2 linked regions of the Lonchura striata genome follow. The protein of the gene in region 2 interacts with the protein of the main gene of each other region in a pairwise test. Links are inferred from orthologs where the notes say so. Each region holds a gene or a part of one and is shown on either strand. Other genes may lie near its edges.

Region 1 (7,493 bases), on a different chromosome or scaffold from region 2:
TTTTGTTTTGTAATTACTTTCAGCAAAAAGATGTGATGAATGTTGCTATTGTCCCTTGTGTATGTTTATGAAATGCATAAATGTGCTGAATGAGAAATGAAAGAGTTACTTCCACAACTGGAGTCCTCAAAAACTTCTCTGTCACATTTTCATGATATGTACACATCTCTAAGCCACAATTCTGAAAAAAATTCACAGAAATTATTTAATTAGCAGGAATGTTTACAGTAACAGTGTACTGTAAGTAATAGTTACTATAGAAATTTAATAGAAATTAAAGTACAAATCATTAGTACTGCCACTAAAAATGAGAAAAGTATCACTATAATAGAGGGCACAAGATACATAATTACCTTAATACTCCCGGACAGCTAATGCTCCTAGGCAGCACAGCTGAAAATGCAAAATAAAATCCTCAGATACAAGAATTACTTGTAGAAATGGTAGTGCAAAGAATTATTATGATTTTTTAAATTCTGAGAATGTGGCATTCTTATTGACAGTTTTTGAATACAGATGAATTAATACCAGAGGGAAAAAAAAATACCAGTTTCTCTTATTACTGCTTTTTAAATTCAACATTAAATAGGCACTTTACAAGACATAAGAATAAAACTTAATCCCCGCCCTTAGCATTACTCAGGTCTGAGTCTTCTGTGCCTGAGTGGATCCTGTGCTCCAAAAGCTGGATCTGTTATCTGCAGACCCCATATCCCAACAGTACAGGGATGCAAGCCAGAAAGAAGATAACCATAACAACCACAAGAAAAAGCCCAATGATAAAATGTTGTTTTTGTGGTTGTTATTAACTGTAGTTATCAAAAATTACACATTTGAGCAACTGTAAGGCTATTGGTAATTCAAGTGGTGGGAACAGTAATATGCATGTCTGTCATTCACAGCAGTGGCATGGATCAGAGGGAGGGGATTTTAAGAGTCTAATTGAGTATGGAAAGAAAAATATGTCATCAGATGACAATCATATTTTTTGACATAAGCTTCCAGCCAGGAAGCTTAATCAGAAACAAATCTGTGATTTAGTCTGAATTATCCCCTTCCCTCCTGAAGCACAGAAAGGATGCTCACTGCTTTTGAGAACAATTGCTAATCACTGTGAAAATGTGAGCCGGCTCAAAAACTCTGATCAAAACAACAAACAGCTCCTTAGAGCATACACAAAGCTGAGTTCATGTGGGGAAAAGAAGGGAGGAGAATTTAAATCATTTCGGGAACAAATGGTTGAAAACAATACTCTTAGTAACCTAAACCTTTTAGATGGCTCTCTGAGAACTGGCCCCGTTTCAGGGGCAGGGGAGGCCAGGGCCACTCCTGTGTCTCTGGGACACCCCTGGCATCACAGGTATCTCAGCCATCCCTGCAGCGTGATCACAGCATTCTCTGCTTCCTCCTCAGCCCATGTAAACACACTTTGTCCTCTCTCTCCCTGCTGACAGGTGAAGGAACCTCAAAACTTGGAGAGTAGTACCTTCATGAATTTCCACAGAAAAAAGGCACCAGGTCAGCATGGGCTTGCTCAGGCTATTATGTAGATCTTGAAAATTAGCTGCTCAAAAGTGTAGACACTCCCTGACATTCTGTTTTGCTGGCTAGAGATCAGGACAACCTTCACAGCTACATAATATAATACTGTTGAACTTTTGTTTGCAGCCCTTGATTTGTAACCATTTTGATACGTGAGATCAAACAAAACAATGTCTTCTTGAACTACTTATGTAAATATTTTTATATCCTATACTGATTTCTGCTATATTTCCTAGGCAAAACCTGAAAACACTGAGAAAACAAATAATGGGATTGCATTTTAGTGACATTCATGTGTAGACCTTCTGGAAAAAGTATTGTATATTATTTCTGATCTGGACTGGTAAATACAATCCCATGACATCACATTTAAAAATGGCTGTGATCCACCCACTGAGAATGCCAAAGAAAAGCTGGCTGATTTTTTTTTTTTCAAGAAAGCTAGCACAAAGATTACAAGGTGAAACAAATGTCTGAGGCTCATTGTCTACATGAAGAAAAGCTCAGTGTTAAAAGGAAATATGCTACTTAATATTTTCTTAGTTCTCACTTTCAAAACTGTTTCAATTAGTGCATTTGGCATTTAGCTGGACAGGTCAGATGGACATTCTGGTGACATTTCTCCTTTTCTTTGTCCCTTGCCTTTGTCTCCTTTCCTATGTTGTTGGTTTGGTTTTTTATTTTATTCCTGTTTCTTTCCCCTTATTTTATTTCTCAGACCATCATGCAGGTCTTTCTATTCTTTTTCTATGTTGCATAGCTTGCCTTCTTATGACTGATTTCTCATCCTTGAAGCTGTCTTACACACTTTGTTTGCCCCAGCTGACCTCCTTTTACTTCTCTGCTGCACCTTTCCCTTTTTCCTCAGCCATCTTCCATCCCTGTTAACTTCCTGTAGAGTGTTACTGACACTTTTTGCAAACAAGGTTCTCTCTAAGCAGAGCAGTCATGGTTGTTGGCTCTCAGCTGACAGATTAACCTGTGAGTGAGCACAGAATGATAAAAGCAAAAAGACAGCACTGACAGAAATGTTTATTCATTCCCAGACCATCCCACCCCTGGAAAAAAAAAAAAAAAAGTCCCATTTAAATGAAAATTGTTCATTTAAATGAAAATTATCCATTTGTGTCCAAGGTGTCAGTGTTCCACTTCTCTGTCCCTAAGCTATGAAGGGAATGTGGGGCTCTCCTTCCTTCCCTTCTTTGTCCACCTTGGGAGAATAAAAGTGCAGAGATGATACCTTCATTCTTCTAAGTCAGCAGTAGGATTTTATTTTTAAATATAGCTTCTGTGCAAAGCTAGCTGCTTTCTGGTTGGTAGACTATATCTTCTGGTGCCCTTTCCCACTATAGTTTACCCTGCATTTGAAATTGCTTCCTTCTTGCTAAAGGTTCCCAAAAGCTTGTTCTGCGAAACGGACCACATTTGCTCGGTCGCAGTTTTGTCCTAATTATAAACCTGAATGCAGAGCGGTGACATGTTCTATTCCTCTTTTAGCCACACGCTTCCATAAATGCTGACAAGTCGGGAGCGGTGACAAACAGCTCCCAGCGCCGCCGTGGAAATCGCCGCTGTGCTTACAGCACAACCCCAGCAGATGGCAAAAGGAATCGCCTCGGCCCTGCAGCGGTTTGACAGGACTGGGAAAGCGCAAACACCTCTCATTGCTTTCCCCTTTCTCTGCTAAAAGGAGCACGACAGCGCACAGGTTAATCCACCCGCCTGCACCCTGCTGAGCTGTGCGAGTGCCGCTGGGCACAAGCCGCCTCTCCCCTTTGACTTCTCTCTCCAAGCTAAAACGCCAAATGTCGAGACACACACAGCGTGCAGAAGGAATGTAAGGTGTATGTGCCTTAAAAGCCGCCGATGTGTCAGCTTCACTTCAGACATATTTAAAATAGGTCACCAGCCCTTGCTCCCCCTGTTACCACGGTGAAACGGGCATTATGAAAATGAATTTGCATTTCACGTGCCTAAGCACAATCGCTGCCATTTATTCCCTCCCACGGGCAGCGCTACCAGCCCCGCGCCTGCCGCGGCGCTCTGCGCCCTGCCCGTGTGCCCGCGTCCTCCGCGGCTCTGCAAGCGCAGTCCCTGCGCATTCCCGGGCGCTCCCGGACGGCTTGACGGGCCTGGCGAGCGGCCCGGGGCACATCCCGGGGGACATCCCGGGGTACGTCCCGGGGGCACATCCCGGGGGCACATCCCGGGGCACGTCCCGGGGGACATCCCGGGGGCACATCCCGGGGCACATCCCGGGGGTACATCCCGGGGCACGTCCCGGGGCACATCCCGGGGATATATCCCGGGGCACGTCCCGGGGCACATCCCGGGGCACGTCCCGGGGGTACATCCCGGGGCACATCCCGGGGCACATCCCGGGGGTACATCCCGGGGCACGTCCCAGGGCACATCCCGGGGCACATCCCGGGGTACGTCCCGGGGGTACGTCCCGGGGGCACATCCCGGGGCACGTCCCGGAGTACATCCCGGGGCAGGTCCCGGGGCACGTCCCGGGGATACATCCCGGGGCACGTCCCGGGGCACATCCCGGGGGTACGTCCCGGGGGCACATCCCGGGGGCACATCCCGGGGGTACATCCCGGGGCACGTCCCGGGGCACATCCCGGGGGTACATCCCGGGGCACGTCCCGGGGCAGGTCCCGGAGTACATCCCGGGGCACGTCCCGGGGCACATCCCGGGGGTACATCCCGGGGCACATCCCGGGGCAGGTCCCGGGGGTACATCCCGGGGCACATCCCGGGCACCTCCCAGGCCGGGCCGGGCGGCGGCTGCGGCGGGGCCTGCGCGGGCAGCGGCGCGTGCGCGGCGCGGGGCGGGCCCGCGCTGACGCCGGGGCGGGGCTGAGGAGCGCCCGGCGCGGCCCGGCCCGGCGCGGCCCCGAGGGCGATGGCGGCGGCGGGGGGCGGCCCGGGGGCGCCCGCGGAGACGCCGCCCGCCACCGCCGCGGGCGTCGCCGCCGCCGAGGCCGGCGCGGTGTTGCAGCGGGAGCCGCTGTACAACTGGCAGGCCACCAAGGGCTCGCTGCGGGAGCGCTTCGCCTTCCTCTTCTCCAACGAGCTCCTCAGCGACGTGCACTTCGTGGTGGGCAAGGGCAGCGCCCGCGGCGGCGGCGGCGGCGGGGCGGCGCCCCCCGGGCCCGGGCAGCAGCGCATCCCCGCCCACCGGTTCGTGCTGGCGGCCGGCAGCGCCGTGTTCGACGCGATGTTCAACGGCGGCATGGCCACCACCTCGGCCGAGATCGAGCTGCCCGACGTGGAGCCCGCCGCCTTCCTGGCGCTCCTCAGGTCAGCGCGGGCGGGGGCGGCCGCGCTCGGAGGGGGCTCCGCGCCGCGGCGCCGCTTGGCCGCCGCTGCCTTGGCCTCGCTCCGCGGCCCCTCCCGGTCCTGTCCCCACAGAGCCCGGCCTGTCCCTACTGCCCGTCCCTGGAGGGAGCTGCAGGGAAGGCGCGGGAGTGCCTTGGGGGCTGCGCGCAAGGTCACAGCGCGCTTCCAACGTGGTTTGGTCCCTCTCGCTCTTTACCCTGCACTCTATTCCCAAGAGAAGTGCTCTAATTCCCTGGCAGCTGACTGTCCCTTTAGGGAAGCGCTCGGTGGGTGTGTGGTTGGGCTCTTGGATTCAAGGGTTTTGGTTTGTTAAAGTGAAATGATGGGAATTCCTGGGTCCCCTTGATGATGCAACTATCCAGGCATTTTCTGATAGTGACTAAGAAGGGGCAGAGGCTGTTTGTACTAAGCTTTTCGTTTCATTTGATACTTACCACGACATTTGATACTTTGAAGTCTTAGTCATCTTCCTGTTCACTTTTCTTTCTCAGCGATGACAATAAGTTGTTGCATCTCTTTGCCATAATAACACCCATTGTAATCGTACTTGGGCAGAGGAGGAACATGCAGCAGAAGGCAGTAACCAGCTGATTTTCACTTCCAGGCCGTCTGAGTGTGAGACTGGGAGCGCAATGATATAAAGGATATAAAGGAAGGATATAAAGTGTGTTAGTGATTTCTAATTTGGGCAGAGTAGGATCTGCTATTTTGCGTGCTCACAAAACTGATGATTTTACCTATCATTTATTTCTCTGTACTCAGTGTAGTGGCAAGTAAAATTTATGGTATTCATAGAAGTAATTGCTAATAGTTTATTTGTACCTTGGGCTGTGGTGTGGTAATACAACTAACCTGCATAAACTTAAGGTTTTTATCAAAGAAACCACTCTGCTAGGCAAAAAATATAAACTATAAAATATATAAAACAGTTCTCTCTAATGAACATTTGGGAAACAAGTGATATTATTGCCTGGAAATAAATATGTAGTGTCTCAAAGTTCTTTGTAATAGGAAAAACTTCAAAGTCTTGGCAACTTTCTCCTTTTCCTGAGGCCCAAGAGACAGGAACAATTAGAAGTCACCTGGTCCTTAGGTAATCACAGGCAAAGGAGGTAAAGTAAGTGATGTGCACAAAACCCCCATGAGCAGCAATGTCTTGCTGTTGCTGTTAGCAAATGAACTGTTTTTTGTGGATGTTTTGTGCAGAGGAGCAAGAGGTAGTGGGAAGTGTCTTTTAAGCAAATTGGCTCTGAAGGTTGAAAGTAAATGACAGTGCACATCTGTACGTTTGTGTCTGTATATGCGCGAAAAACGCTGGGCAGGGAAAAGTGGGTGTAATAATACAAGTTTGTCTGGATAAAAATGGAAACACAGAAGCAGAGATTTCTAAGTAAAGATAAGAAGGATGGTGTTTGAGCACTGAGGAATGAATGAAGAGATGTTGTTAAAAGCAAACAAAAGCATCCTGTGTTGTAGGGCTGCCAGTGTGTAATGGCCAGGGGACTTGCGTCAGTGCACTGACTGTGCTTGTGCCTTGTCTGAATATCAGCATACTGGTGACTGCTGAAACAGCTCAGGTTTGCTGTCTCTGCCGGCTCTTCAGGACATTCTTCCATGCTATGTGTATTTCTTTGAGCTTATATTGAAATAAATATGCATTGCAGTACCTTGTTAAAAACATCTCTAGGGAGACCTTCTCTAATACATGCCAGTACTGGGCTTTTTCCATGATGGAAACAACATGGGGTCTTTTCCTGGTGTTGACTGAAAGAGACAGGAATGATACCTTGCACCATTGGCCTCTTTTATCTATCATTAGTAAATCACTCAGATAATGATAGTTACCTTTCACAGGACATTTCCTTAATGCTTGAAAACACCAATGTGAGGTATATTGCCTAGAAGTTCAGTCAGGATGTTTGAATACACATAGCAAATGAACATCAAGTAAAGGAAATGTTTGAGTAATGAAAAACTTTCTAAGCATAATTTACTAATTATTTAATGTTCCTTAGCTCATTGCCATTTTATTTACTCATGTGGTTTGTTGAGTCATGTCGTAGTTTATTTGTTTCATAAGGATCTACTGGCAAATACTACTTGTAAATTAAAGGAAAAGACTTTTTAATGCAAAAATAGTTTGACAGATAAATCCTTAAGACCTGAAATAATATCAAAGTCACAAAGTCACAAAAATCTGTTTCCCAATGAAACAACTTTTGTGTGTGTGTTTTTAACTACAAATTGAATAGCAATGATCAAGAAAATTCATGTTGTCTCAGTAGGTTTCTGCTTTACAGTTTCTTTTTGCTGGTTTTACTAAGATTTTTTTTTTTTAAATTTTCATTCATATTTTACAATAAGCTAACTTGTCCTTTGATCACAGAATAAATGAAAGTGATGATATGGCACAAGTTAAGAGTCTGTCTTCCAAAAATCTTTTCAGAGAATTTTGGCAAGCAGTAAATAAAGGGCTAATCATGGCTAACTTGAAAAAAGGTTCCTGTGTGCTTTTATAATGGTGAAACATTCCAGCTATTGAGAGGATGCTCCCACAAGGGGAGAAGGAAGTGCTAACCTGAGAGTAAAGAAAAATAGCATAA
Region 2 (6,931 bases):
CCCCCAAATGTGAAGTACAGGAGGCTTAAAAGGAGAGTTTGGCTTTACTGTTTATCGCTGCCTGACAATAATCAAAGTACAAACCAATTCTAAATATCTTGGGGGGGGGGGTGGGGGGAACCAGCACATTTGGGATTCCTACTACCCACTCCTAATCTTTGCCATTAAATAAGATGAAAATAAGAAAATAAGAGCAAGAGCCTCAGGTCTCTGCCTGAAGGAGAACCTCTGTTCTCACATCCGTGCGTGACGATTCCTGATGCACCAGTGCAAAGAGCTCCTGTGCAGAGGAAACAAGGCTCAGAGCAAGCAGAGGTGACAGATTTTCAGGGAGATCTGGGGTGGTCACAAGGTCAAAGAGTCCAGTGTCTATTCAGCATTATTCCCACAGCAAGACTAACAGGGTTACACGTACCTTCCAGTGCTGAAAAGGGTTTTGGGGCCTCTGATTAATGACAATGATGTTACATGACTGCCACAAATAATTACAATAGGAGGGAAAGGGTGCTGATGCCTACACTGGTATGGATTTGTTGGGTGCACTTGATTTACCAGGAATTCCGTTTTTTCATCAAGGTGTCTTACTTTGAATTTCTGTATTGAATTCCTTCAACACATGGTAGAAATAAAAACCACAGGAGTTTCAAGAGCTCTATGACTAAAACTCTTAGAAGAATAAAACAGCACATGGTCACAATAGAGGAGAAAAATCCCTCTGAAGGGTTCACTGGAAGATGGAGTCAAAAGGTGAAATATACATCGTTTCCTCTATGTACAACAGAACTAAATAACTAAAGCTTACCAAGGAGTATTTTTCCCTAAATCAAGATGATCTTTAGATGAAGCAAGTATTTTCCAGCACAAGAAGGCTACAAGCATTCCTATATATGCTTATATTTAAATTGCTTCAAGAGTTACACCCGTACATCTTGGGAAATCCACTGCACCCCTTTTTTCCTGATAAGAATTATTCATAGAGCCCAGCTATAAATTCAGAATGGAAATAGAGAGTTCAAAACATGCATATTTGACACTGTCTGCTCCCTGCTGCACACACACAATCACATTCCAATGAACTGACAGAAGAAAAGGTGCTCGCAAGCGTAGATCTGTAAATATTTACATGCAGTAGCCTACAAGGCAACCAGGCACGTGGACATCATCCAGAAAAGCATTCTAAAAATTAGTGTAACTATAAGTCAAGCAGATATTTTCAACCAACATTTTTGTCCTCTACCATCTCAGCAGTCAGGGGACAGCTCAGAGCTCCTCACATATCCCAAATAGTGACAGTAAAACACGCACACACACAAAGGTTGGTTGTATACCCTCAACTCCCCTTCACCCTACTTAAGCCCTTCAATTTGACAACTATCAAGTGAGGCAGGCTTGCAATCAGCTTGCTTCCTATAAAAATGAATAAATTATCAGAAAAAATTAGCAGTCATCAGGCTGATTAGAAAATACAATATTGTATGTATATATACATATATGAACATAAATATACATATAGACATATATTTATATATATTAATATATAAATATATACATATACAAAAAATTATATGTAAGCACATATATATATAAATATAAATATATATATATATTAGACTACAGGACGCTTGTAAATGTTTCTGAACAAAATGAAGTTAGCTTGCAAAGTCCCTGAAGTGATGCTGTCTACCTTTCTGGAATTGTCTACACTATGGTCTGTTAGGTTCTTTAAAGTAGGTCTTTATTTTAATTTTAAAAAACCCATCTAACAAGGTAAAGTCACATCACTTAAATAGCCAAGAAAAAAACATAAGACTGATCTTAAAATGGATGCAGCAGCTTCTTTTAAAGAGCAACATGTTGCAATCACCTTTCATTTTAGGGGAAGGAAGGGATTCCCTCAAAGGAACAGAGACGGGGAGCAGTGGGGGGAGGGAGCCTGCGATTAAAAAAAAAAAAAAAAAAAAAAAAAGGCGACTTGGGATTTTTAATTTTTGGTTTTTTTAAACTAAAAACTTTGCTTTCCCCTCGGTTACAAGGGGCTGGTGGCGGGGATGGCGGCCCGGTGCCTCTGCAGAGGCGGCTCGGCGGCAGCTCGGGGAGGAGGAGAAGGAGAGAAAAGCCACAGAGAGAGAGAGAGAGAAAAAGAAAATGGCGCAGAGACTAAGTCCCGACCGTCGACAAGGCGACTTTCCAGGGAGGAATCGGGGCCCAAAGGCGACCCCGGCAGAGCCGCTGCGCTCGGATCGGGGCCCTGCGGTGCCCCCACTCGGGGCGGCGGGGGTCGGGGGCGGCCGATCCCGGCGGGAAAGGGGCGCTTTTGGCAGCTCGATGGGAACAATGGGGCCGGTGAGCGCGGAGCCGGGACTTAGTCTCTGGGACGCCATGTCTGTGCGAGGGGCGCGCCGGGGCCGCACTCACCGTTCGCTCGGAAATCCGCCTCGATCTGCGGGGAGAGCACACAGGGACACACCGTCAGCACGCCCGGCTCCGCGGCGCTCCGGGGGACCCCCGCCCCCGCCCTCACCCTCATTTTTAGGGGAATTAAATACGAAAGGAGAAAAGCCCGGCGCGATGCGGAAGGTGATGGGGGAACCGGTGAAGCGCCTCCCCGGCCCCCGCGCAGCTCATGAGCGGACCCCTCCCGACCCCCCAAAGGGCAGCGAGCCGGGGAAGCGTGGCAGCCGCCCCCTCCCCTTCTCAGCCCAGCCCGGGGGTCACACGCGGGTCCCCGCTCCCGCCGCCCCCCATCCCACCGCGGGGGGACAGCTGGGCTGACAGGGCTCTGCCCAGACTTATGGGGGCGGCCGCAGGGCACGGTCCCCCCGCTGGGGTTACGGGGGGTGGCGAGGCGGCCAGCCCAGGGCCGGCACGGGGAGATGCGAGCACCGCGGCGGGGGTCCCCCGGGAGCGCGCCCCGCGGGCGGCCACGGGGCGCTCACCTGGGAATCGTTGTGCAGCTGGTCCCCGCTCATGCCGGAGGCGCGGGCGGCCGGGCGGAGCGGGAGGAGCGGCGGGCAGAGGAGCGCCGGGCGGAGCGGGACGCGGGGAGCGCAGCGCGGTTGTGTAACAGACTAAGTCCCGCTTTCGGCGCTCTGCGCATGCGCGGCGCCTTTTAAACCGGCGGGGAGCGGCCTGGCGGGCAGGGGGCGGGAAGCGGCCGCGCGCTGATTTGCATGCGAGCCACGCCCCCAGAGACGGCATGATTTGCATGCAGGCCACGCCCCGCCGGCGTGACCGCTCCGACCCGCTGCCCCTCCACCATGCGCTACGCCGGCTCGCTGCTTTACATATCCGGTCCCGCCCTTTCCTCTCCCTCCTCCAATGGCGCGGCAAAACCGGGCGCTCATTTACATGTTAAGCCCCGCCCCCTCCCCGCGGCCGCCCGGCCCGGTGCATTGTGTAAGAACTCGTGCCGCTCCGTGCGCACAGCGCGCATGCGCTACCTCTCCGCCCCGCCGGTTATTTGCATACAAGCCCCGCCCCCGCGCAGGCCCCGCCCCCAGGGCCGCATGGCGGGCGGGCCGCTCTGAGGGGCGGCGCTGCCGCTGCTGCCCGCGGTAACCCCTCCGTGACAGCCCCCGCGGCTGTGCGGCCCTCGGGGCTTCTCCCGGAGTCCCGCCGCGCCAGACCCCCGCAGGCACCAGCTCATGAGCAGTCAGAGCATGTCCTAGTGAGGGGAGGCGGGCGGGTGCGCGCACCTGTCCCGCAGACCCCTCGTTATCAGGCTGTGTTATCTGTGCGGCTGACCCTCGCTGCCGGTCTCTGCCCGCCACCGCGCCAGGCTGGAGTGCGGAGGCCGCAGGAACCACGGGGAGATGCTGGGGGGGAAGCACATCAGGCAGGTTTGGGCTCACTTGACTCCTTTTAGTCAAGGACAGCACTGGTGCATTGCATACAAGAGCATTAAAAAGGGATCAGCCCGCAAGGTTTTTCTTCTGGCATAGCAGAGTCTTAAATTTTTTCTCCTGAAAAAAAAAAAAAAAAAAAGGAAGGTAAAAGGGGGCCAAAGCTTTATTTTCTTTTAGGTAATGTGATAGTGAAGCACGTGCCTGCTTAGAAAAACACCCCTCCTTCCTCAGCCCAAACCTGAAGACATTTATTTCTGTTCCGCAGCAGCGCTTATAAACGGGTTTTCTTGTCGGTGTACTAAATGGCAGGTTTAGTATGCATGGCTGGTACGTGTCTCACAGGACTGCCTCCAGTCTTCTTGGAGCTTCCATCCTCTGCTGCAACACAGACTGTACCTTTCCTCAGCTTCTTTACACAACCAGAGCTTTGATTTGACACTAAAATAACCTGGCGCTGCCAGGCTATCTGAAGAGATACATCAAAATGTAAGCAGTGACAGCAGCCACCTATTTGCACTGCATATTTATATCCTGCAAAGGGAAAACTCTGTCACTTTCTTACCGTCTTCAGAAGAGGATCTAAGGACTTCCTTTTTTTACCGAGTGCAGGCAAATATTTCTGGAGCTGTTTATTATGCAAACTGCTTTAGTCACTGTTAGATTTTTAAATATAAACATAATGAAAGAGCTGTTTCAGACATCAGGAAGAGGTGTGTGCCCCTGGTTCACAAGAATGAGGTGAAAGCAGGCTTTGCCCTGGGTTTGAGCCCCTCCTTGCTGCCATCCAGGGCTGCAGGGCTGTGCCTTTTGAGACAGCCTGGGAGCGGGCTGGCACCTCCTGCTTCCAACATTAGAAATTCCTAAAAGCTCTTCCTTTGAAGCAGCAATTTCACTTTCAAACCTCACATCTTTGTCTCCCCAAGAAGCCCTTGCTCAGGTGGCTGTGCCTGCCACAAGAAAGGGACCCTCCACCATCCCCGGCACGCTGCAGCTGCAGCCAGCCCTGTGCAGGGGAAGGCAGCCCGGCCCCTTCCCGCAGCTGCCACCTTCGCAGGCGTTTGCAAGCACGTCTGGTCGCAAAGCAGAGCCCCCGAAACCGGCACACGAGAGGTTTAGCGCTGTGCTGCCGGCAGGAGCCTGCTGACAGCCGCGTGGGAGAGCTCGGAAGGAGCAGGGAGCTTCCCAGTTTGGTATCTCAGGTCCTGACTGCCGCGGTAGCAGTGCCAGAGCCATTAGTGACGAGCAAAACCTTGTGCTCGAACGTCAAACACCTCTCACTCCACGGAGGGAACCTGCAGCCGAGGCAGCAGCTTCGAGCTGTCTCCCAGGAGTCGCTTCCCATCTGCTGCACGGAGCCTCCTTCTCTGCAGCTATTCGAAACCCACCTGAACACAAACCTGTGCGACCTGCTGGAGGAGGCTGGGTGTTCCCAGAGGCGCCTCCCAAACGCAGCCACTCCGTGCGATCCTTTTTGTCCCCAGTCTTCCACAGGGTTATCCTGGAGCCTGCAGGGAGTCCCTGCTCTGCTGTCAGAAGCCAAGAGGCAGGGAAATACACAGCTTGTTCAAAGCACATTAAACCATAACACCTGTGTGGCCCCATCTGTTGCAACGAGCTATATGATAAAAAAAACCTTATGATCTCCAGGCCTATAACCTGCAGTACCACCGTCCAGGAGGCTGAACTTCCCTCACTCCCTTCCACGCTGGCATCCCTTGGGACACGGGAGGCTCTCCCACGAGAGGAAGGCTCGTATAGGACACACCACTCTACAACCCTGTGAAAGTGATCGTGGCCCCAAACCTGCCAGAGAAGCATTTGGACAACGCTCTTAAGCCCAGGGGAATTCTTGGAGTTGTCCTAAGTGGGAGATGGACTCAGTGATCCTTGTGCGTCCCTTCCAGCTCGGGAGATTCCGAGTCTAAGCAGCCCTTTCCACGGTGGAGGCTGGCAATGAAGGGGTTAACGTGTTTGGACCCGCTTCCCTGGCGAGGCTGTGCACACCCCATCAAGATAAATGGGGGAAGTTCACACCTCGGAGTGCTGTGATCTCTCTCCAGGGTTCCCTGGGACCAGTACATCACCATCGGGTTAATGTAGCCTAGGTGATTGCCTGCAAAAAGAAACAGCTGGAAACTATGTGTTTAAATTAAATAATAAATCACCCGGGATACAAATCCAGTAGAAAAGCCTTCAGTTCTTTTTCCTGGTGAACGGTGAGATTTGATTTATCTGGTGCACTGGGCCTCACACTGTGCTCAGGGTGCATATTTTGGGAGAGGGAGGTGGGTGCTGTTTTCCTGGCCAGCTTTGCAGTCCTGTATCAGGATGGGATCCTACACCGTGCTCCAGCCTGAGTCCACACTCTTCTGCACAGACCAACACAAGGCAAGAAACCTCGACAGCCAAACCCCTAAACCCTCCACAGCCCTCTTTCCAAGCCTTGCTCCTAGCCTCAGGTGAAGCCATCTTCATTGTGTTCCTTCAGTTGATTCTCCTTTATATTTAACTTGATTATATGCTACACTTCAAGTTTGAAAGTGAAACAAAACTGGTAATTAAATACGCTCATATCTTGGTATTTCTGATTACAATATCAGAAGTTCAGGCCTTAAGAGCACAACACTGCCAACTCATTCAATTTTATTAGCAGTTCCACAGATCCAAGTTCACTTGTTTAGTTTTCCTTTATATAATTTTGTAAAAATCTCTACTTTTGTCAGAGGCAGAGGCCAGTTTCTAGTGTTTATGTTTTAGGAGAAAAAAAAAAAAAGCAACAAAAGCCCTCCATCTGAATATGAAACAAACGCATGTTGTTTGTGAAGAGGTAACAAAGAACCAAAATGCATTTACAAAATTTACACATTTAAACCCCAAAATCTAATTTTTAAAGGCCTGTAGTGATGTCTTTAGTCTCAGCTCATTTGTAAGAGCTATGGTTTGGATATTTCTATCACTACTGTACATTTTTTTCACAGCCAGAGACCTGCCTGATGTGCAGGATTCCCAACTGGCGTCATCCTCTAAACCTGCTGTCTCTAAAACCAAGTGACACTGGTACAAAATAAGAACAGTCAGATACACGA

Evidence for each region. The genes of interacting proteins can lie anywhere in the genome.
Region 1: the proteins of TOP1 (region 2) and BTBD1 interact in a two-hybrid assay, tested with the Homo sapiens proteins (2 studies listed by BioGRID). The link is inferred for Lonchura striata from reciprocal best matches to the Homo sapiens genes TOP1 and BTBD1.

Annotation. Positions count from the first base shown.
Region 1 is NC_134613.1:14,957,593-14,965,085, reverse strand, and holds the start of BTBD1 (BTB/POZ domain-containing protein 1), read left to right. Parts: upstream 1-4,453; coding exon 4,454-4,851; intron 4,852-7,493.
Region 2 is NC_134619.1:9,817,421-9,824,351, forward strand, and holds the start of TOP1 (DNA topoisomerase 1), read right to left. Parts: upstream 3,102-6,931; 5' UTR 2,970-3,101; coding exon 2,937-2,969; intron 2,441-2,936; coding exon 2,416-2,440; intron 1-2,415. UniProt on the Homo sapiens protein: Releases the supercoiling and torsional tension of DNA introduced during the DNA replication and transcription by transiently cleaving and rejoining one strand of the DNA duplex.